Saccharomyces cerevisiae S288C: one gene and its partners. The gene in region 1 interacts genetically with each later gene. Each region holds a gene or a part of one and is shown in the gene's direction. Other genes may lie near its edges.

What was found.
Region 2: mutations in HFA1 (region 1) and MCX1 together harm fitness more than expected from each alone (negative genetic interaction), as found in Saccharomyces cerevisiae (2 studies listed by BioGRID).
Region 3: mutations in HFA1 (region 1) and PHA2 together harm fitness more than expected from each alone (negative genetic interaction), as found in Saccharomyces cerevisiae (one large-scale study listed by BioGRID).
Region 4: mutations in HFA1 (region 1) and DCK1 together harm fitness less than expected from each alone (positive genetic interaction), as found in Saccharomyces cerevisiae (one large-scale study listed by BioGRID).

Annotation. Positions count from the first base shown.
Region 1 is NC_001145.3:677,538-685,333, reverse strand, and holds the start of HFA1 (acetyl-CoA carboxylase HFA1), read left to right. Parts: upstream 1-1,769; coding exon 1,770-7,796. Other genes in the region: ERG12 (mevalonate kinase), read right to left, coding at 1-867. UniProt on the Saccharomyces cerevisiae protein: Catalyzes the rate-limiting reaction in the mitochondrial fatty acid synthesis (FAS) type II pathway. Responsible for the production of the mitochondrial malonyl-CoA, used for the biosynthesis of the cofactor lipoic acid.
Region 2 is NC_001134.8:673,026-676,692, reverse strand, and holds MCX1 (Mcx1p), read left to right. Parts: upstream 1-1,558; coding exon 1,559-3,121; downstream 3,122-3,667. Other genes in the region: glucan 1,3-alpha-glucosidase ROT2, read left to right, coding at 1-336; SLX1 (endonuclease), read right to left, coding at 466-1,380; YBR225W (uncharacterized protein), read right to left, coding at 3,364-3,667. UniProt on the Saccharomyces cerevisiae protein: ATP-dependent unfoldase that stimulates the incorporation of the pyridoxal phosphate cofactor into 5-aminolevulinate synthase (HEM1), thereby activating 5-aminolevulinate (ALA) synthesis, the first step in heme biosynthesis. Up-regulates heme biosynthesis.
Region 3 is NC_001146.8:41,540-45,027, reverse strand, and holds PHA2 (prephenate dehydratase PHA2), read left to right. Parts: upstream 1-1,952; coding exon 1,953-2,957; downstream 2,958-3,488. Other genes in the region: DAL82 (Dal82p), read right to left, coding at 1-581; ATP11 (Atp11p), read left to right, coding at 748-1,704; cleavage polyadenylation factor subunit PFS2, read right to left, coding at 3,012-3,488. UniProt on the Saccharomyces cerevisiae protein: Catayzes the decarboxylation/dehydration of prephenate to phenylpyruvate.
Region 4 is NC_001144.5:964,105-971,921, forward strand, and holds DCK1 (guanine nucleotide exchange factor DCK1), read left to right. Parts: upstream 1-1,792; coding exon 1,793-7,591; downstream 7,592-7,817. Other genes in the region: URA4 (dihydroorotase), read left to right, coding at 1-775; proteasome regulatory particle lid subunit RPN13, read right to left, coding at 986-1,456; protein kinase regulatory subunit ATG17, read right to left, coding at 7,813-7,817. UniProt on the Saccharomyces cerevisiae protein: Forms a transiant heterodimeric complex with LMO1, that acts as a guanine nucleotide exchange factor exchange factor (GEF) for the small GTPase RHO5. DCK1, LMO1 and RHO5 relocate to mitochondria upon oxidative stress and trigger cell death.

The DNA of each region.
Region 1 (7,796 bases):
CTTAGTCATGATCTCTAAGCCTTGTAGGGCACATTCACCCATGGCATCTAGAATTGGCTTCATAACTTCAGGAAATTTCTCGGTGACCAACACACGAACGCGAGCAACAAGATCTTTTGTAGACCTTGGAATTCTAGTATAGGTTAGGATCATTGGAATGGCTGGGAAATCATCTAAGAACTTAAAATTGTTTGTGTTTATTGTTCCATTATGTGAGTCTTTTTCAAATAGCAGGGCATTACCATAAGTGGCCACAGCGTTATCTATTCCTGAAGGGGTACCGTGAATACACTTTTCACCTATGAAGGCCCATTGATTCACTATATGCTTATCGTTTTCTGACAGCTTTTCCAAGTCATTAGATCCTATTAACCCCCCCAAGTAGGCCATAGCTAAGGCCAGTGATACAGAAATAGAGGCGCTTGAGCCCAACCCAGCACCGATGGGTAAAGTAGACTTTAAAGAAAACTTAATATTCTTGGCATGGGGGCATAGGCAAACAAACATATACAGGAAACAAAACGCTGCATGGTAGTGGAAGGATTCGGATAGTTGAGCTAACAACGGATCCAAAAGACTAACGAGTTCCTGAGACAAGCCATCGGTGGCTTGTTGAGCCTTGGCCAATTTTTGGGAGTTTACTTGATCCTCGGTGATGGCATTGAAATCATTGATGGACCACTTATGATTAAAGCTAATGTCCGGGAAGTCCAATTCAATAGTATCTGGTGCAGATGACTCGCTTATTAGCAGGTAGGTTCTCAACGCAGACACACTAGCAGCGACGGCAGGCTTGTTGTACACAGCAGAGTGTTCACCAAAAATAATAACCTTTCCCGGTGCAGAAGTTAAGAACGGTAATGACATATTGACAGTTTTCTATACGTAGATATAAATTTGCAAGTTAGGACTAAGAAGCGCACCAGCTAACCAGGAAGTAATATCATGGCTAACTAACCTTTATAGGCATATCGTTGTATCGTTCTTCGATACCCTGTCGAAGATTTCAGTGCGACAGCCAAACGAGGCCCGAAAATTGTCAGTACAATTACAACCGATAAAATACACGTTGAGACAAAACTAGCACAAAACGCCTCTTTAAACATAAATGTGTACGCATTCTGAAAGTGAGATAGAGTACAAGGCTATCGCTAGCTTTCCACGGGAGAAGTAGTAGGAACCTCTCTTTTTATTGCTTATGACAGTAATAATAGCATCATTCATCAATGTTTCCGTTAGGGTAACTAAAATGGGTGGGCGGCAGATGACAAGAAAAGATGAATAATGAAGAATGATAAAGAAGAAGTCATCTTGGGTAGAAAGGGAAGACAATTACACACGGCCAAAGCTGGGGGGCTCGCCGGATACATTCTCACTTTTACATTACCATATTCACAATTACTTGCATTCGAATAGGACAGTACAAGCTCGCGTTATATTTGGATCCTTATCGATTCTATAATATAACGGGCAGCCAGATAGTACGGTTGAAAGGACAGCGCCCTGAATACAGAAAACGCATTTTTGCCCATTCGTATAGGCATTCATCTCGAATAGGTTTGAATTTTCCATCTAGAAGAAGGTATTCCAATTATGTGGATCGAGGCAATATTCATAAACATACTCGATTACCGCCCCAGTTCATAGGGCTAAATACTGTGGAAAGTGCCCAACCTTCAATATTAAGAGATTTTGTTGATTTACGTGGTGGACATACTGTTATTTCAAAGATCTTAATAGCAAACAATGGTATTGCTGCGGTGAAAGAAATGAGATCTATAAGAAAATGGGCGTACGAGACGTTCAATGATGAAAAAATCATTCAATTCGTGGTAATGGCGACACCTGATGATTTACACGCAAATTCGGAGTATATTAGAATGGCAGACCAATATGTGCAGGTACCAGGGGGTACCAACAACAACAATTACGCCAACATAGACTTAATACTGGACGTGGCAGAGCAAACGGATGTGGATGCGGTCTGGGCTGGATGGGGCCATGCTTCTGAAAATCCGTGTCTTCCTGAGCTGTTAGCTAGTTCACAAAGGAAAATACTATTCATTGGTCCTCCTGGACGCGCTATGAGATCATTGGGTGACAAGATTTCTTCCACTATTGTAGCACAAAGCGCTAAAATCCCGTGTATCCCTTGGTCTGGTTCACATATAGACACTATCCATATCGATAACAAGACGAACTTTGTATCTGTGCCGGATGATGTATATGTAAGGGGATGTTGTTCCTCACCTGAAGATGCTTTAGAAAAGGCTAAATTAATAGGATTTCCTGTAATGATTAAGGCATCCGAAGGTGGTGGAGGTAAGGGCATTAGGCGAGTAGATAATGAGGATGATTTTATTGCATTATATCGCCAAGCAGTGAATGAGACACCTGGGTCGCCTATGTTTGTTATGAAAGTTGTCACTGATGCTCGTCACTTAGAGGTACAGTTATTAGCTGACCAATATGGCACTAACATTACATTGTTTGGGAGAGACTGTTCCATACAAAGGCGGCACCAAAAGATTATAGAAGAGGCACCAGTGACAATAACCAAGCCTGAAACGTTTCAAAGGATGGAACGCGCAGCAATTCGTCTAGGTGAATTGGTAGGTTATGTTTCTGCGGGCACTGTCGAATACTTATATTCACCAAAAGATGATAAATTTTACTTTTTAGAACTGAATCCGAGACTACAAGTAGAGCATCCAACGACAGAAATGATATCTGGCGTAAACCTTCCTGCCACTCAACTGCAAATCGCCATGGGCATTCCTATGCACATGATAAGTGATATCAGAAAACTTTATGGTTTAGATCCAACGGGAACTTCGTATATTGATTTTAAAAATTTAAAGAGACCCTCGCCAAAAGGCCATTGTATTTCATGCAGGATCACTTCAGAAGATCCTAATGAAGGTTTCAAGCCCTCCACTGGGAAAATACATGAGCTCAATTTTCGTTCTTCTTCCAATGTTTGGGGTTACTTCTCAGTAGGAAATAATGGTGCTATTCACTCATTTTCAGATTCCCAATTTGGGCACATTTTTGCTGTAGGAAACGATAGGCAAGATGCAAAGCAAAACATGGTTTTAGCTCTAAAAGATTTTTCCATCCGAGGAGAATTCAAAACCCCCATAGAGTACCTGATAGAGCTATTAGAAACTCGGGACTTTGAGAGTAATAACATATCGACTGGTTGGTTAGATGATTTGATTTTGAAAAATTTATCTTCCGATAGCAAACTAGATCCAACGCTCGCTATTATCTGTGGTGCCGCAATGAAAGCATACGTTTTCACAGAAAAGGTGAGGAATAAGTATTTGGAATTATTGCGGAGGGGCCAAGTTCCACCTAAAGATTTTCTTAAAACGAAGTTTCCTGTTGACTTCATTTTCGATAATAATAGATACTTGTTCAATGTTGCTCAATCATCTGAAGAACAATTTATTCTTTCTATCAATAAGTCTCAATGTGAAGTTAATGTTCAAAAATTGTCCAGTGACTGCTTGTTGATCTCCGTTGACGGTAAATGCCATACAGTTTATTGGAAGGACGATATCAGAGGTACAAGACTTTCGATAGACTCCAATACCATATTTTTAGAAGCTGAACTCAATCCCACTCAAGTGATCTCTCCAACTCCGGGGAAATTGGTGAAATATTTGGTCCGAAGTGGTGATCACGTTTTTGCTGGACAGCAATATGCAGAAATAGAAATAATGAAAATGCAGATGCCACTAGTAGCGAAAAGTGATGGTGTAATTGAGTTACTAAGACAGCCCGGTTCCATAATTGAGGCTGGTGATGTCATCGCAAAATTGACTTTGGATTCGCCGTCCAAAGCTAACGAATCGTCTTTATACCGCGGAGAATTACCTGTTTTAGGTCCACCGCTAATAGAGGGTAGCCGACCAAACCATAAGCTCAGAGTCTTAATAAATAGGTTAGAAAATATTCTCAATGGATATCATGAAAACTCTGGAATAGAAACTACTCTAAAAGAGTTGATAAAAATATTGAGAGATGGTAGGCTTCCTTATTCAGAATGGGATTCCCAAATTTCTACGGTACGCAATAGACTACCAAGGCAATTGAATGAGGGGCTGGGAAATCTAGTCAAGAAATCTGTTTCTTTTCCTGCAAAGGAACTGCACAAATTAATGAAGCGCTACTTGGAAGAAAATACAAATGATCATGTAGTTTATGTTGCCTTACAGCCACTTCTTAAAATTAGTGAAAGGTATAGCGAAGGTTTAGCTAATCACGAATGTGAAATTTTTTTAAAGTTGATTAAAAAGTACTATGCTGTTGAGAAAATTTTTGAAAATCATGATATACATGAAGAAAGAAACTTACTAAATCTGCGGAGGAAAGACCTTACAAACTTGAAAAAAATTTTGTGCATAAGTTTATCGCATGCTAACGTAGTCGCAAAGAACAAGTTAGTAACTGCAATATTGCATGAATACGAGCCATTGTGCCAGGATTCCTCTAAGATGTCTTTAAAATTCAGGGCTGTTATACATGATTTGGCAAGTTTGGAATCTAAGTGGGCTAAAGAGGTTGCTGTAAAGGCAAGATCAGTGCTACTCAGAGGGATTTTCCCTCCCATAAAGAAAAGAAAAGAGCATATTAAAACTCTCCTGCAATTGCACATAAAGGATACTGGTGCCGAAAACATTCACAGCAGGAACATATATTCCTGTATGAGGGATTTTGGTAATTTAATACATTCAAATCTGATACAACTTCAGGATTTGTTCTTTTTTTTTGGCCATCAAGATACGGCTCTTTCCAGTATAGCATCTGAAATTTATGCAAGGTATGCCTACGGCAATTATCAATTAAAAAGTATTAAGATTCATAAAGGAGCGCCTGATTTACTAATGTCATGGCAATTCAGCTCATTAAGAAATTATTTAGTCAATTCTGATGGTGAGAGTGATGAGTTTACAAAACTTTCTAAACCTCCCTCAACATCAGGTAAGAGCTCAGCAAATAGTTTTGGTCTTCTTGTCAACATGCGTGCGCTTGAATCTCTGGAAAAGACATTAGACGAGGTATACGAACAAATTCATATTCCTGAGGAAAGACTTTCCAGCGGAGAGAACTCTCTTATTGTTAATATTTTATCTCCTATTCGTTACAGAAGTGAAAATGATCTAATTAAAACTTTAAAAATTAAACTTCATGAAAATGAGAGAGGTCTATCCAAGCTCAAGGTTAATCGTATTACATTTGCATTTATCGCCGCGAATGCGCCCGCTGTTAAATTTTACTCCTTTGATGGAACTACGTACGATGAAATCTCTCAAATAAGAAATATGGATCCATCCTATGAAGCACCGTTAGAGTTAGGAAAAATGTCGAACTATAAAATCAGATCACTACCTACATACGATAGTAGTATACGCATTTTTGAAGGTATTAGCAAATTTACGCCGCTAGATAAAAGGTTCTTTGTCAGGAAAATCATAAATTCCTTCATGTATAATGATCAAAAAACAACCGAAGAAAACTTGAAAGCGGAAATCAATGCTCAAGTGGTTTATATGTTAGAACATCTAGGAGCAGTTGACATCTCAAATTCAGACTTGAATCATATTTTTTTAAGTTTCAATACAGTTCTTAACATACCAGTACATCGTCTCGAGGAAATTGTGAGTACAATTCTAAAGACTCACGAAACCAGATTGTTTCAAGAAAGAATCACAGATGTAGAAATTTGCATCTCTGTTGAGTGCCTAGAAACAAAGAAGCCAGCCCCGCTTAGATTACTTATTTCTAATAAATCTGGGTATGTGGTAAAAATTGAGACATATTACGAAAAGATAGGGAAAAATGGGAATCTGATTTTGGAACCGTGTAGTGAGCAGAGCCATTATAGCCAGAAATCTCTCTCTCTTCCTTACTCGGTCAAGGATTGGCTACAACCTAAAAGGTACAAAGCTCAATTCATGGGTACAACATATGTGTACGATTTCCCAGGTCTGTTTCATCAAGCTGCAATCCAACAGTGGAAAAGGTATTTTCCAAAACATAAGCTGAATGACAGTTTTTTTAGTTGGGTTGAATTGATAGAACAAAACGGTAATTTAATAAAAGTAAACAGGGAGCCAGGCCTTAATAATATAGGGATGGTTGCTTTTGAGATTATGGTTCAGACACCTGAATATCCTGAAGGGCGTAACATGATCGTGATTTCTAATGATATTACCTACAATATTGGATCTTTTGGACCGAGAGAAGATTTGTTTTTTGATAGGGTCACAAATTATGCAAGAGAGAGAGGGATCCCGAGGATATACTTGGCGGCGAATTCAGGAGCTAAATTGGGTATAGCCGAAGAGCTGATCCCTCTATTTCGTGTAGCATGGAATGACCCCTCTGATCCAACAAAGGGTTTCCAGTACTTATACTTAGCTCCAAAAGACATGCAGCTACTGAAAGATTCTGGGAAAGGAAATTCGGTTGTTGTTGAACACAAGATGGTATACGGTGAAGAGAGATATATTATTAAAGCAATAGTCGGATTCGAAGAGGGTTTAGGTGTTGAATGTTTACAGGGCTCGGGTTTAATTGCTGGTGCCACTTCGAAAGCGTATAGAGACATTTTCACTATTACTGCTGTTACTTGTCGGTCCGTTGGTATAGGTTCCTATCTGGTCAGACTAGGACAACGTACTATTCAGGTGGAGGATAAGCCTATCATACTGACGGGTGCATCGGCGATTAATAAAGTTTTGGGTACCGATATCTATACATCTAACCTACAAATTGGCGGAACCCAAATCATGTATAAAAACGGAATAGCGCATTTAACAGCCAGTAATGATATGAAAGCCATCGAAAAAATAATGACATGGTTATCATATGTCCCGGCGAAAAGAGATATGAGTCCTCCACTTCTTGAAACTATGGATAGATGGGATAGGGATGTAGACTTCAAACCTGCCAAGCAAGTGCCATATGAGGCAAGGTGGTTGATAGAGGGTAAATGGGACTCAAATAACAACTTCCAGTCAGGCCTATTTGATAAGGATTCGTTTTTTGAGACATTATCTGGATGGGCCAAAGGTGTAATAGTTGGAAGAGCACGTCTTGGAGGTATTCCCGTGGGTGTTATTGCGGTAGAAACTAAGACTATCGAAGAAATAATCCCCGCTGACCCAGCTAATCTGGATTCTTCAGAGTTTTCCGTTAAAGAAGCAGGACAGGTGTGGTATCCAAATTCCGCGTTCAAAACAGCTCAAACTATAAATGATTTTAACTATGGTGAGCAATTACCATTGATTATCTTAGCCAATTGGAGGGGATTTTCTGGCGGTCAAAGGGATATGTACAATGAAGTACTAAAGTACGGGTCTTTTATTGTTGACGCTCTGGTTGACTACAAACAACCCATACTGATATACATTCCGCCCTTTGGTGAATTAAGGGGCGGATCATGGGTTGTTATAGATCCAACTATTAATCCTGAACAAATGGAAATGTATGCCGATGTTGAATCTAGGGGAGGTGTGTTAGAACCTGACGGAGTAGTTAGCATAAAATACCGTAAGGAGAAAATGATAGAGACGATGATTCGATTAGACTCCACATATGGACATTTGAGAAGAACGTTGACAGAAAAAAAGTTATCTTTGGAAAAACAAAATGATCTTACGAAGAGATTGAAAATAAGAGAGAGACAGTTGATACCAATTTACAATCAAATCAGCATACAGTTTGCAGATTTACATGATAGATCGACTAGGATGCTAGTTAAAGGAGTAATCCGAAATGAGTTG
Region 2 (3,667 bases), on another chromosome or scaffold:
TATGTTGATGATGGAGAAACTTTTGGCTACCAAAGAGGTGAGTACGTAGAAACTCAGTTCATTTTCGAAAACAATACCTTAAAAAATGTTCGAAGTCATATTCCCGAGAATTTGACAGGCATTCACCACAATACTTTGAGGAATACCAATATTGAAAAAATCATTATCGCAAAGAATAATTTACAACACAACATAACGTTGAAAGACAGTATTAAAGTCAAAAAAAATGGCGAAGAAAGTTCATTGCCGACTAGATCGTCATATGAGAATGATAATAAGATCACCATTCTTAACCTATCGCTTGACATAACTGAAGATTGGGAAGTTATTTTTTGAGGGAAAAAAACGAAGTGATATCTTTACATCTTTTTAGCTCTTTCTTACAAAGTAAACGTAAAAATATCCGTAAATATAACATATAACCATTATCTATAGAAAAAAAAGAACCGAAAATTGTGTCAGGCCCTACTTCCCGTGAGCTAACTTCATTCTTGTCGAAAACTTGACTAGGGTCGTCCAGTCGCAAAACATATCACATTTCGGACATTTCCCACCTCGAGGTATCAAATTTCTTCTCCCTACCATCAACTGTTCATCATCTAGAAAGTACCTGTGAAGACATTTCAAGTGGTTAACACACCCACAGTCTTTATTATTGCAAAGCGCTACAAACGGCTTCAGATTTTGCTCTTCAGACGTGTAGTCAATTTCTTTCTCACAAATTTCACATCGCACTACCCCTGTAGTTAGTTTCTTTTCGAAAGTTTCGAATATGTTTCTTTCATTTTCAATGACTTTAGTGTATACAGCTTCCACCACTTTTAAATTCTCATCACTATGATCCATGAGAACATCCACAGTTTTCTCCTTTGGTTCTTCAAGCGCATTTTCATTTATTTGTATATTAATCGGAAATCTGTCTCTTTCAATAAAAAATTTGTCCTGTTTCCAAACCTCCCAAGCCTTTATATTAAAAACCTCGACTATCAAGTTCATCCTTTGAAAAAATTCATGCTTTAAAAGTAACTTCATTAATGCAACTTTGTGATGTAAAGTTCTTCCACCTGCTTTATGCTTTACAACACGATCTTTTTCGGCAATATAATGCGTTTGGTACCCATGTTGCCATGCATGTTCAAACTGTAAAGCTGCTATCTTACTTGGGAAGCCCCGCACAATCATTATCATTTCCCAGGGCCTTGAACCGTCACGTTTGGTTCGATATGCCCCTCCAACAGCCAATTTCCCATTATGCTGCCTCAAACGTCGTACTGGGTTAGGAGTTGATCCAACGTAAAATGATTGCCTCTTGTTAATCGATTGTAGTAGATAACAACAATAAAAATCAGGAAACTGATGCTGCTGTATTTTCTGCGACATGGTACCTTTCTTATCTTTTTAATATTTTTTGAAAAAAGAGAACATTAATTTGACAATATTTTTTCGATGATAGAAGGGAATAAGTCATCAGTGGTATATATTAAAATTAAAAAGAAAAGCAAACGGCTCATCAAACAAAACCATAGAAGACAAGGCACTCTAATTACATTTCACACTCATGTTGAAATCTGCAAGCCAAAACTTTTTTAGAGCTTATTCTAGTAGAATTGGTCGATATGCTGCTACAGCATCAGGGAAACTGGCACAGTCTCGTTTATCGAATATACCCACTCCAAAAGCATTGAAGAAATTCCTCGATGAGTACATTGTTGGTCAAGAGATTGGTAAGAAGGTTTTAAGCGTGGCAGTTTATAATCACTATTTAAGAATCAATGACAAGCAAAAGAAAGGGGAATTACAAAGGCAGAGAGAATTGATGGAACGAGAGAAAATCGCGGATGATAGGGATGAACCAATTTTCAGTGGAAACAGCGAATCAAAGGCTGGTTGGAGGAATCTTCAAAGACAGTTTAATTTAGCAGGTAGAGAGGTTGACGAAGATTTAGAGTTAAGCAAAAGTAATGTCCTTGTCGTTGGTCCCTCAGGTTCTGGTAAGACTTTGTTGGCAACAACATTGGCGAAAATATTAAACGTTCCAATTGCAATTACAGATTGTACACAATTGACTCAAGCAGGTTACATAGGTGAAGATGTTGAAGTATGCATTGAAAGATTGCTCGTAAATGCTGAATTTGATGTTGCGAGAGCAGAAAAAGGTATTATTGTTCTTGATGAGATTGATAAACTAGCCAAGCCTGCCGCAAGCATTGGCACTAAAGACGTGTCCGGAGAAGGGGTTCAACAGTCATTATTGAAAATCATTGAGGGCCATAAAGTGGAAATTACCGTTAAAAGGCCTGTTAAGCATGATATTGACGGACAAAAAAATCAAACTACAACAAAGAAGGACGAAGTATTTGTTGTAGACACTTCAAATATTCTTTTCATGATTATGGGAGCTTTTGTTGGTTTAGATAAGCATATTGTTAAAAGGATAGAAGATATGAAGAAAATACAGAAGGCAGGAGAGTCTGTTGAATCATCGAATAGTAAAGAAGTTGAAAAAGAAAGAGCGAAGAAGTTCAGATTTAGCAATACGCTTGAGCAGGTTGAATTAGATAACGGAAAAAAAGTGTGTGCTTTAGACTTGACCACCCCCACAGATTTAGTTAGCTTTGGTCTAATTCCTGAATTAATTGGCAGAGTCCCAATTATAACTGCTCTGCAGCCTCTACAAAGAGACGATTTATTTCATATATTAAAAGAACCTAAAAATGCCTTATTGGATCAATATGAATATATTTTTAAGCAATTTGGGGTAAGATTGTGTGTTACACAAAAGGCGCTAAAGAAAGTTGCTCAATTTGCTCTCAAGGAAGGAACTGGCGCCAGAGGGTTGAGAGGGATAATGGAAAGACTTCTGCTAAACGTTAATTATGATTGCCCGGGTTCTAACATAGCATACGTTTTAATCGACGAAGCTACTGTCGACTCGTTACAGGAAACAGAGCACTCTTTGGCTTCCCAAGTGGACGTAAAATACTATTCTGGTGATGAAAAGGACAGTTTAATTCGTGACGTTTCTGAAGAAGATAAAAAATTAGGAGTTATGCTAGAAAAAGAGTTGGGTCATTCTGCTAACATTCATACCCCAACAATTCCCAAGAGAAGCTTAACATAAAAAAAAATGAATGGTATAGAATATATAAATATAGATGTAATAAATGTAGTAAATGAACAAATAATCTTCCTACAAAGTACTATGCCATGGGAAGTAAAAAAAATTAATAAATATTGGCTAAAGTGTTTCAAATTGGTTCTACGATACTGGGAGACTACTCCTTATCATAATGCTTTTTGTCCAGTAGTAAAAATTGAAGTAATTCTTGAACAATTTAAAAAAAAATTGGAACGGCGGCACAATTATTTGGTATATGGCAGCTTTGGCTTTTGCGCCACCACATACAAAGTTCTAAAGCAGCCAGCGTTGTCATCGATTTTTCCTATGTGTTCTTCCACATATCTTTTGAAAAGAGTGGTGGGGTCGGTATCCTTTGGAGGACAACTACTATCTGGTAGTTGCCTCCTTAACATGTAGTCCCACATATCTAAAGAATTAAATTCATTCAAAAAGCCCATATCTGTTTTGAAGTCACCAGTTTTCAAACTTAGGACCGAGGACTTGATGCCTGTAAACCCTACATCCTTGAATGTCCTCGTTAAGTGT
Region 3 (3,488 bases), on another chromosome or scaffold:
ATTTGTGGAGGCAGTACTGTCTCGCTGAACCTATTTGTACCCTTGTTTATCTTAGGGCTTTTGATGACTTTCCCGACGTCGTTATCCTTAGACAGAATCATGGGGATTGTGTGAAGAGTAGGCGGAATTCCAATCGTTATTGAATCCAGGGGCAGCGGTTGTGAGCCTGAATGCTCATCGTCGGAGCTGTGGTTATTCGGATGTTCAGCGGATGATAATTGTTGAAACGGATCAGGCCCCGGATGACTTTTAATGAAAGAAGATGATGATAAGGATGAAGATGATTCATTTCCGAATTTAGTTCTTGGTCTTGGATGTTCTGGTGCTTCGTCCAAGAGTGCTCCCATCAGCTTCAACTGGGAAGGAGAGAATTGGGCTCGATCTGCGCTGAAGAGGTCCTTCAGTCGACGAAATTTGGTTTTTAACGTCCTTGATTGTCTATATCTTGACCCAGTCTGTCTGTTGTACTCATCGAGCACCCTTTGCCAGCTATCTTGTCTGTAGGCATATGGTTTCAGATGAGGTTTGTGCCGTATCAGTAGTCGTAGAAGCAGCTCCACAGGATCCACCGATTCATCCATTATGGTTGGCTCCGCCTAAACCTTTCAAAGTATCGTTAAACCATGTTGTTATCAATGGTTCAACTCACCCGAATGGAAATAACGCTTATTTTGACGCCGTAATCGAAGGATGTGAAGAACTTATCAAGACTTGAAAATAGAGAACAAAAGAGATTTAAGAATAACTATGTGGAGACTAACCAGAAAAATCGGCACTAGAATCCATATTTCTAATCAGCTGTCGCCCATTTTTAACAAGGCAATTGGAACAGTTCCTGTTTTTCGTTTTTATTCTTCCAGCCCAGAGCAGAAGTATAGAAAGAAACTTTTGGAAGAGGCTCAAAAACAAGGTTTTAACAGCATAGAAGAGTTGAAAAATCATTTGAAAGAGACTATAGAGTCTAAGAAGCGGGAATTTAATAAAATCGACCCCCTGAAAGAACTAGAGGATTACCAACAAAAAACTCAAATGGAAAATAACAACTCCAAGCATTTGATGACGAAATCAAGAAGTCCTCTCGATCCAAGTGCTCCTAAAGTTCCCTTCAAAACATTGGACTCTTTTTTGGATGTTGGAAAACTGAAGGACTTATCGAAACAGGAAGTAGAGTTTCTTTGGAGAGCAAGATGGGCACAAAAAGATAATACATTATGCGCTGTGATTCCTGTCTCCGTTTATGATAAGATGATGGCAAATGCCAGGAATAACCCTATATTCGTGTTGCCACTTCCTAGACAAGTTCAATCTGAGGATGCAAAACCGAACGAAGAACAGGGAATGGAACTACACTACATCCAATGGCAGTTTGTCGGACCCCAAACAACACATTGTATGATGACTTCCCTAGCAGAATACAAACTACACCAGGAATTTGCAAGGCCACATACTACCTTGCAGTTCCATTCTGATTTGGTCAAGGATAAGGGAATTGTTTTTATGAATGGCCATGTTGAACCGGATACAAACGTGAATGTACAGGATGCACAGCTGTTATTGCTAAACGTGCAAAGGTTTTATGGTGCAATGGGTGAAGAAACTCCAGTTGCTAAACAGAGAGTGCAGTTGTTAAGAGATTTCTCTAAGGCCTCTCCGGGATTCACCGTCGAGAAATTGATTTCGCTATCACAGTCCATGGAAAATTAACGAAGAATTACTTCCGTATACGTATATATATATATATATATATATTAATGACACCTGTAAATAAAATACGTACTACATCATCTGCGACAAGCGTACAGTTTCTTTACACAGTTATCAGCATGACTCTTGTATTTTCATAATGAAAAATGAAAATAAAAATTTTAGTAGATGAATATAATACGCAGAAAGAACAGGCTAAAAAAGTACGAAAAGCAACTTCATTATATTTCCGCATTCATCCTTCAATTATGGCCAGCAAGACTTTGAGGGTTCTTTTTCTGGGTCCCAAAGGTACGTATTCCCATCAAGCTGCATTACAACAATTTCAATCAACATCTGATGTTGAGTACCTCCCAGCAGCCTCTATCCCCCAATGTTTTAACCAATTGGAGAACGACACTAGTATAGATTATTCAGTGGTACCGTTGGAAAATTCCACCAATGGACAAGTAGTTTTTTCCTATGATCTCTTGCGTGATAGGATGATCAAAAAAGCCCTATCCTTACCTGCTCCAGCAGATACTAATAGAATTACACCAGATATAGAAGTTATAGCGGAGCAATATGTACCCATTACCCATTGTCTAATCAGCCCAATCCAACTACCAAATGGTATTGCATCCCTTGGAAATTTTGAAGAAGTCATAATACACTCACATCCGCAAGTATGGGGCCAGGTTGAATGTTACTTAAGGTCCATGGCAGAAAAATTTCCGCAGGTCACCTTTATAAGATTGGATTGTTCTTCCACATCTGAATCAGTGAACCAATGCATTCGGTCATCAACGGCCGATTGCGACAACATTCTGCATTTAGCCATTGCTAGTGAAACAGCTGCCCAATTGCATAAGGCGTACATCATTGAACATTCGATAAATGATAAGCTAGGAAATACAACAAGATTTTTAGTATTGAAGAGAAGGGAGAACGCAGGCGACAATGAAGTAGAAGACACTGGATTACTACGGGTTAACCTACTCACCTTTACTACTCGTCAAGATGACCCTGGTTCTTTGGTAGATGTTTTGAACATACTAAAAATCCATTCACTCAACATGTGTTCTATAAACTCTAGACCATTCCATTTGGACGAACATGATAGAAACTGGCGATATTTATTTTTCATTGAATATTACACCGAGAAGAATACCCCAAAGAATAAAGAAAAATTCTATGAAGATATCAGCGACAAAAGTAAACAGTGGTGCCTGTGGGGTACATTCCCCAGAAATGAGAGATATTATCACAAATAATATGTTATATAGTCTTTTTATTTATGTATCCTAAAATCTCGTCAAAGCGCACTTTTATATGCTTAAACCTGGCAATGTGGAACTCTTGATGTTTGAATCGATGCCTGGGATTTCTTGACGCGGTTTCTTGTTGATGAATCCATTCATGTTTGGTAACGCATGTGGTTCAAGTGTAGCTGGTGGTGGCGGGGCCGCACCGAATTCACTCTTCTCTCTCACAGCATTGATGTCGTTATTGATGCCAAAAAACCATCCATTTATCTTCTTATTGTTATAAGTTGGATCATCATATGCATTAGGATCAATTGGCCTCGCTCTAGTCCAAAATCTTATGGTTCTATCCTTAGCTGCTGTGGCAAATATATGTCCTACTGGATTATATGATAACGAGGTGATACACTTATCATGGGCGTATGGAATAGTCAAAATAGGTTCGTTTAGATTTTGTAAAAGATCAAAATGCTTTAGCGAGCCGTCATAGCACGCCAGAGTGAACATAGATTCATTTATTGGGTGCCATTCTAGTGTCAT
Region 4 (7,817 bases), on another chromosome or scaffold:
TTCGGCTGCTGGGGTGGATCCAAATGACTTCAGCGCATTTTACCCAATTTTCAAGGCTATGCAAGAAGAGAACCTGGTATTAAATTTGCATGGGGAAAAACCTTCTGTCCATGATGGAGACAAAGAACCTATTCATGTATTGAATGCAGAGGAAGCCTTTTTGCCAGCCTTGAAAAAATTGCATAATGATTTCCCAAACCTGAAAATAATTCTGGAACACTGCACTAGCGAGTCGGCAATAAAGACAATCGAGGATATAAATAAGAACGTGAAGAAAGCCACTGACGTAAAGGTTGCTGCCACATTAACGGCTCATCACTTATTTTTAACAATTGATGATTGGGCCGGAAATCCGGTAAATTTTTGCAAACCTGTTGCGAAACTTCCAAATGACAAAAAGGCTCTAGTCAAAGCTGCTGTATCAGGGAAACCATATTTTTTCTTTGGATCTGATTCAGCACCTCATCCTGTACAAAATAAGGCCAATTACGAGGGTGTTTGCGCAGGAGTTTACTCACAATCTTTTGCGATCCCTTATATCGCCCAAGTTTTTGAAGAGCAAAATGCCTTGGAGAACTTAAAGGGCTTTGTTTCCGACTTCGGAATTTCCTTTTATGAGGTTAAAGATAGCGAAGTGGCTTCTTCAGATAAGGCAATATTATTCAAAAAAGAACAAGTTATCCCTCAGGTTATCAGCGATGGCAAAGACATAAGCATCATCCCATTTAAAGCAGGTGATAAACTAAGTTGGTCGGTGAGATGGGAACCTCGTTAATATGCAACAATATGTAGGCTCATTTGAGAGTATAGACCATATATACATATTTATGGGAAAAATAAACTTACCTTCCAATAGAAGTTATAGATGCCATCATCATGCCTATTGTTATGGTCCGTATCTCTTTACAGAAGTTCACAGCCAAATGCGTTGATATGGTATATTTTTTCTCTTCAGTTTTTTATCAAAAAATGCCACAACCTTGATTTAATCTTGCATACTAACATCCACATCTTGAGCTTTTTGCTTTTCGTCATTGCTTTCTTCCTCATCACTTTCACTACTATTATTCAGCACTCCAATCATCTTATTGTAAATTTCTTTATCTTTCGCACTCAATTCATTTAAGGGCAAATTACCTGAGTTCTTCTCTTGCAGCCAAAAGAAGTACCTTTCGTTGGATGAAAAAACTAAAGCAAATATTCTGCCACTTTTACTGGATTTTATTGGAACCCACATGGTCTCTCCAGGAATTAAAATCAAAGAAATAGGATCAAGTTCCCTCCCGACCGGCTTTTCCGTTGGACGCCACTCGAAATCCCAAAATCCCAATTCTTCCTCTTCATTTGGTTTGATCTCGATTTCACCCTGAACTGGAATTGGCGTACATAGACGTGAATCTTCGTTGTATTCACAAACACCAGCCCTGAATTTAATTACAGTTGAACTCATACTCATCAACACTCTTTTAAAATTTATAAGTCAACCAGCACTTAGGTAGTTTTCTGGCACCCTTATAGAACCTAATCTACTGGTCATAGTAGAGTATTTAGTAGCAAAGCTTTCGCCACCTCGCGAATAATATATCACGAAATACGGAGGAATTTTAACTGAAATATATCAATAACGCATATCAAGGAGGGGATGACTTGATGAGTTGAAAATAATATAAATGGTTCAAGCAACCGTTTGTACACCACTCAGTCAATTATTGCTTCAATTGAAATTATAGAGGACCGAAGATTAGTCATATAAAACAGGGGTCTTTTTTTCTTTAGGGAGATTACTATTACAATGTCGCAACAGGATTCACAGCGCTGGCTGCCCACGGATCGGCTAATATATGGTGTGCTAGTCAAATCTTTCCTTCCCTTACAAAGGTATCCTGAGCTGGTATATGAAAACAGCAATTATGCGAACGTTTATGTGGGTGCAGAAGTTTACGTCTTCGAAGAATCTGTGGATAAGAAATGGTGTAGAGCGTACCAATGTTTACGACCCTTTCCTGAAGAATTCATATCGAATATGAACTCGGCGAATGATGTACTGCCAGACGTGAAACCGAAAGTAGTGATATTTCCTAGAAAATATGTTCATTTTGAAGCAGAAAAAGCCGTCAGCACAATGCCATTTTTCAAAGCACCTAGTGCTGAGGATTTTAAACCATTGATAAGTAAAGAATGTGAGTCCCGCTCCTTTTGTGACAGCCTATATGTTAGCTCTACTGATGATATATCAACTGGTAAACCAAGAAAGACACCGAGACCTCCGTTCCCCTTTTTCAGATACCAAAAGAGGTCCTTTAAGGACGAAATGGGTCCTATATTATCTCTTATTTCCTCGCATGTTTACTCTATGTATTCAATTGGCGAGTTTTCTATATATAGGAAAATGATAAAACTTTATTATGATTTGGACACTATACGATTTAGATTGTCTATGAATTTAACCACAGAGGCTGAGAAAATAAATCTGATAAGAGCAGCAACATCCCTAAGAACTAAAATCGCAAAATTTTTGTCCTCCACATACAGGAAGAATAAACTAATTGCTAACTCTACTCCAAGAAACCCAGATCCTTATGGTTTCGAAGGAATTTTTGCCAGGGATATTGATACTGGCGAATTGCTCTCATACGAGATCGACAAATTAAGAACTTTAGTGTCATCGTCAATGCTTTGTGGTTTAACTAATAATTTTCCTACTGTACCTGTGGTAGAGTCCGATGATGAGTCCTCATCTAACGGACTATTCGGCACAGTTAGATCGAGCATTTTGGTTAACTTGAAAGATCTGGCATGGGATCCCTCTATATCAGATCCTAAATATCAAGATCTTTCTATTTGTGTATACTTGAGAACCAAAGACGAAGTTTTAACAGAGTCTTTTACCATGACGAAGTCGTCCAATATGGAATCAGCTCTAGATGAAATTCCTGCAATGTTATTCAAGAATATTTTGGAAACGATAGTCCATAAAAATAAAGTATACTTAGTAGTAGTGCTGAAGGAAACAATAGCAATTACAACAGAAACTGCTCCGGAAATTTCATCTTACAATATATCTACCGAAGAGTCAAGTTCACATTCCCCATTTTCTCCATTTAATTCATCGACTGAGAATAAGATTGACCACGTAAAAAAGGGCTTAGCTGCCGGAGTTATTAACATATCTCCGGTATTCAAGTTTTATAACGGCCTATCAGTTGCGAATAAAGCTCAGAGGTTTAACCTTTATCTTTATAGCTCCGATTCCTCGGATTCGCAAAACTTCAACTCTTCAAAGGATGCGGATTTAGGTTGGGGCGGGTTAATAAATAAGATAATAAAAGATTCTTCTGAAGGCGTTTCTGTGAACCCTAGGGCTGTTTCTTTATCGGTAACTGTAAAGGAAATTATAGGCAAACAAGAGGCGGAAAAAGTGCTCTCCACATCTTTAGTACCGATAAGATCTATTCCCACATACTTTTATGATACCATGTTTAGCCAAGCAGAAAGAATTTATCTGAACTTAGGTAGGGTGTCGCTTTATGGACTTCCTGCAGCTGATACAAATATAGAAAATGTTACCGTTCAAATATCCTGCAGGAATAAGGCCGTAAAATTTTGCAAAAATAAGCTCGAAGAGAGATCTGGGGACTGGAAGTTTGTTTCAGTTCGTCCAAATGAGAGCATAGGCGAATCGATTAGAATAGAAGGGGTAGAGAACATGAACGAAGACGAGACATTAAGAGTATTGGTATATTTGAATGGATTTTTGATGGCAAAATCAAATATACATATCAAGAAAAAGAACGAAATCATAGAATATAGAAAGGGTACCGTATTCCAAATAATGTCATCCAAATCAGTACCTCTAATTCATTTAGAGCTTGAAGCATCATATTTTGGTCGGAGATATAATATCAACCCTGCCATTACAAATTTCTTAGTTCTTCAAACCAAAAATGTTGAATTCGACCAGCAACTTAAAGAGCACTATTCAGTTACATTGAAGCAGCTGAATAACGTTTCTTTTAAAGATTTACTAAAGCATTTTGACACAATTTTAGCACACTATTTGTTACTTCTTGAATCGGTGAATGAAGCTACTGATAAAAAAGGCCCTTCTTCAAGTTTACCCAATATTGTATTCAGTGAATTCGTCAAGTTTTTAAATTTAATGTTAACACACCAAGAAAACTCTAGATATTGGTTTAATAGACTGTACAAAAAAGTCATGTCAAAGGAACTAGAATGTCCCAATGTTGCACCGATACTAATAAAACATATGACAACGATCTTTGATAGGAGTCATTCTTCTTGGACTAGAACAGGAACTGCAATCTGCCGAACCATCCTGTACATAATTGTGTTGGCAATCGGTTCGTCTCATTCTGATGAAATGCCTAATTTCAGTCATTTTTTCAGAAGCTTGCACAAATTTTTAATGCTTGCTGATGAGCCAATAATGGCGGATCAAATTTTGTTAATAGAAAGTATTCCCTCTATGCTGGAGACAATGACCAATCACTGTAAGGTGGAAGACTTAGTTCGTTTTGCGATCGGACTGTTTGAATGTTGCCAGGAAAAAGAAATGAATCAAAAAATGTACTCCAGGCCACTCTCAGTTCGAGAAGAAGAATATTTGAATACAAAGTTTAATTGCCTGTTGAAGTTAATTAACAAGAAGGTTTTGCAAAATTATTTAACCAATACGGAATCCGTAGATAAACTGAGGTTACAGTTTTTATCTAAAACCCTTGAGTGGTTACTTACGCCGTATACTCCAGGCGATGACAAATGTTTTCACGTAGAATCCTTACGCTTGGTTAATTCTGTTTTCATTACAATAATCGAAGATTACAAATTTGACATGCTACAAAGGAACTTGATAAGGTTACTACCATATTTGTGTAAGTCCTTCGTCCATTTAAGAAGGTACTGTAAGAAAGCACGTTTAATGAGGCCTCGAAGAGTTTTTACCATGCTTTTTCCCAGAGAAATTCCATGCAACTACATACCGGTTGATTCAATAGTGAATGATGAAGTAGTCGTAGAAGTTCTTCTAGAGCTTGCCATCATAATTTGTGAAATAACGAAAATTGCATCAAGCAGATTTCCATCATATCAATCTTTCAGCGAAATCATAAACTTGTGCGATAAAGACACTCTTTTTCAATCAAATTTTTATTCACGACAAATCACGAATGAAAATGTCTATACAATAACCAAAACAGTTTTTTTGTTTTTTAAACAAGATTGGTTCCCAGGAATGAAGTGGCTTGGCGTATCAGCGTTATTAGGAAGATCGTCTCTAATATTGCTTAGTTTATGCAAGGATTATATCATAGAAAATAATTCACCTTCTCCATCAAAGGAGTCTGAAAAGAGGGTTGACATGCGACTTTGGGCAGAATATGTAAAAGTCATACTACTAGTTTCAAACCATAAAAGTGCATCCTTGACTAAGTTAGCTATTACTCCACGTAAGGCCGTTTATTTGATATCGGGTGACCTGAAAAAAATTTCAGCATATATCCTAAATGAATGTTGGGATGCCCTAGCCACTGGGCACTATAATATCACTTATGCTAAAAAGTATGGATTAGGAGCCTTGAGTGATTGCCAATTTGAATTGTTTGTTCATAATCAATTTTTGATACGTGAGATCTTTATTTTTGCTTTCCATAGACATATCGATGCAACAAGAATTTGTTGCAAAATACTATGGGGATTAGGGCTAAATTTTTGGAGGATATTTGGGTCCCTACAACCAGCAGTGAACGCATGTATCCCAGAATTATTCAGCGCATACCAAATCGGGAAGCTTCGTTTGAATGATTACGAATTGGAAAGGTTTGTTTCTTGTTTGTTTTTTATGATGCACGTTCCCGATTCTGACACCTTTTTTCCTGCTTGTATGGATTTCTTAAGAGATTTACTTGGTTTTTTGCATATTGTAAATGAAATCTACAAAATACCTAATCAAGAAGAATTTGATGATGATCGGACTGCTCGGCACATAGAGATGTTCGAGTACTTGCTAGAAGCAAACAGGCCAGAGTTGTTTCATAAAATGATATATGATTTGTTTATCCACTTTATTCAGAAAAAAGACTTTGTTCAAGCAGCTTTGAGTCTAGAACTCTTGGCAGGTACGTACGCTTGGGATTCTAATGATACTCTTGAAGCAATATCTTTCCCGCCATTGCCAGAGCAATCTTCATTTGAGAGGAAGGAATATCTTCTTAAGGAATCCGCAAGAAACTTTTCGAGAGGCCAAAAACCAGAAAAAGCTTTAGCGGTATACAAGGACTTGATAAAAGCCTACGATGAGATCAATTATGATTTAAACGGGCTGGCCTTTGTACATGACCAAATAGCAGGCATTTATACCAGATTACAGTCCATTGATAGACTGGTTCCAACGTATTTTAAAGTTTCTTTCATGGGATTTGGTTTTCCAAAATCATTAAGAAATAAATCGTTCGTCTTTGAGGGTCTCCCATTTGAACACATTACGTCTATGCATGACAGGCTTCTACGAAGCTATCATGGGTCAAATATTGTACACTCACAAGAAGAAGTGGATATGTTATTGATGAATCCTCCAATGGGAAAATACATTCATGTAGCTTCCGTCGAACCGTGCTTAAGTATATCCGATAATTACAACAGTAGTGACAAGAAAAGCTCAATTAACAACAAAGTGCGGATGTACATTGAGAATAGAGATTTGAGGACTTTCAGTAATTCTCGACGTTTGCCAGGCGCAAAAGGAGTCACTGACCTGTGGGTGGAGGAATATACGTATCATACTATGAATACTTTTCCAACACTAATGAATAGATCAGAAATTGTAAAGGTTACGAAGAGCAAACTTTCTCCACTTGAAAATGCAATTCGTTCCTTACAAGTTAAAATACAGGAGTTATATGGGCTTGAAAACATGTGCAATAAAACTCTGAAGGACCACGGTGATGTGAACGATTTATTTACCGAGCTTTCTACAAATATTACGGGAACAATATCAGCTCCAGTTAATGGAGGCATATCACAGTACAAGGCCTTTTTAGAACCCTCCACATCCAAGCAGTTCAGTACTGATGATTTAGGAAGATTGACGCTAGCTTTTGATGAGCTTGTTGCAGTATTAGGTCGCTGTCTAACGTTGCATGCAGAACTACTACCATCAAAGGATCTAAAACCATCACATGATCTTCTAGTGCGTCTTTTTGAGGAAAATTTCGCTGAGGAGATAGAAAGATATAGTCGTACTCTCAGTGAGGCCAATCGTAGCAGGAATAACATGATTACTGCTCGAATAATTTCGCACAAGAACCCCAATAAAAAGGCAAGCTTTTCTGGAAGGGATCATCACACCTCAGGGTCCAATCATAGCCAATTTGTATTAGAACATAGCGACTCATTTGGCCCAAACAGTTTACTTTTTGGAAAATATTTAACAAGAACGTTATCCCACTCGTCCACTACGAGCAGTTTGGATAAAAGTGGAATTGTTTCCGGCACTTCGAGCACCTTTTTGGCAGGGTCACAGCCAAACACCAACACAGATTCACAGCACAAGCATGATTACTCACATTCGGGATAATATGTCAGAAGTTGTTCACTATAAAATATACGCATATGTAATCATTTATTTATTCATTCATGACTTTTAGTTGAAAAGGGCACATTTTTCTTTGTCGTAAAAGTGAAGAAGACAGCGAATTTTTTCCTTTCTCCTTCAAGTATTGCTTTTTTGATAAAGTATTTTTCGAAATATTGATACAATTATTGAATCTTTGTACCGTATCCTTTTTTTCCTTTTTTCTAAG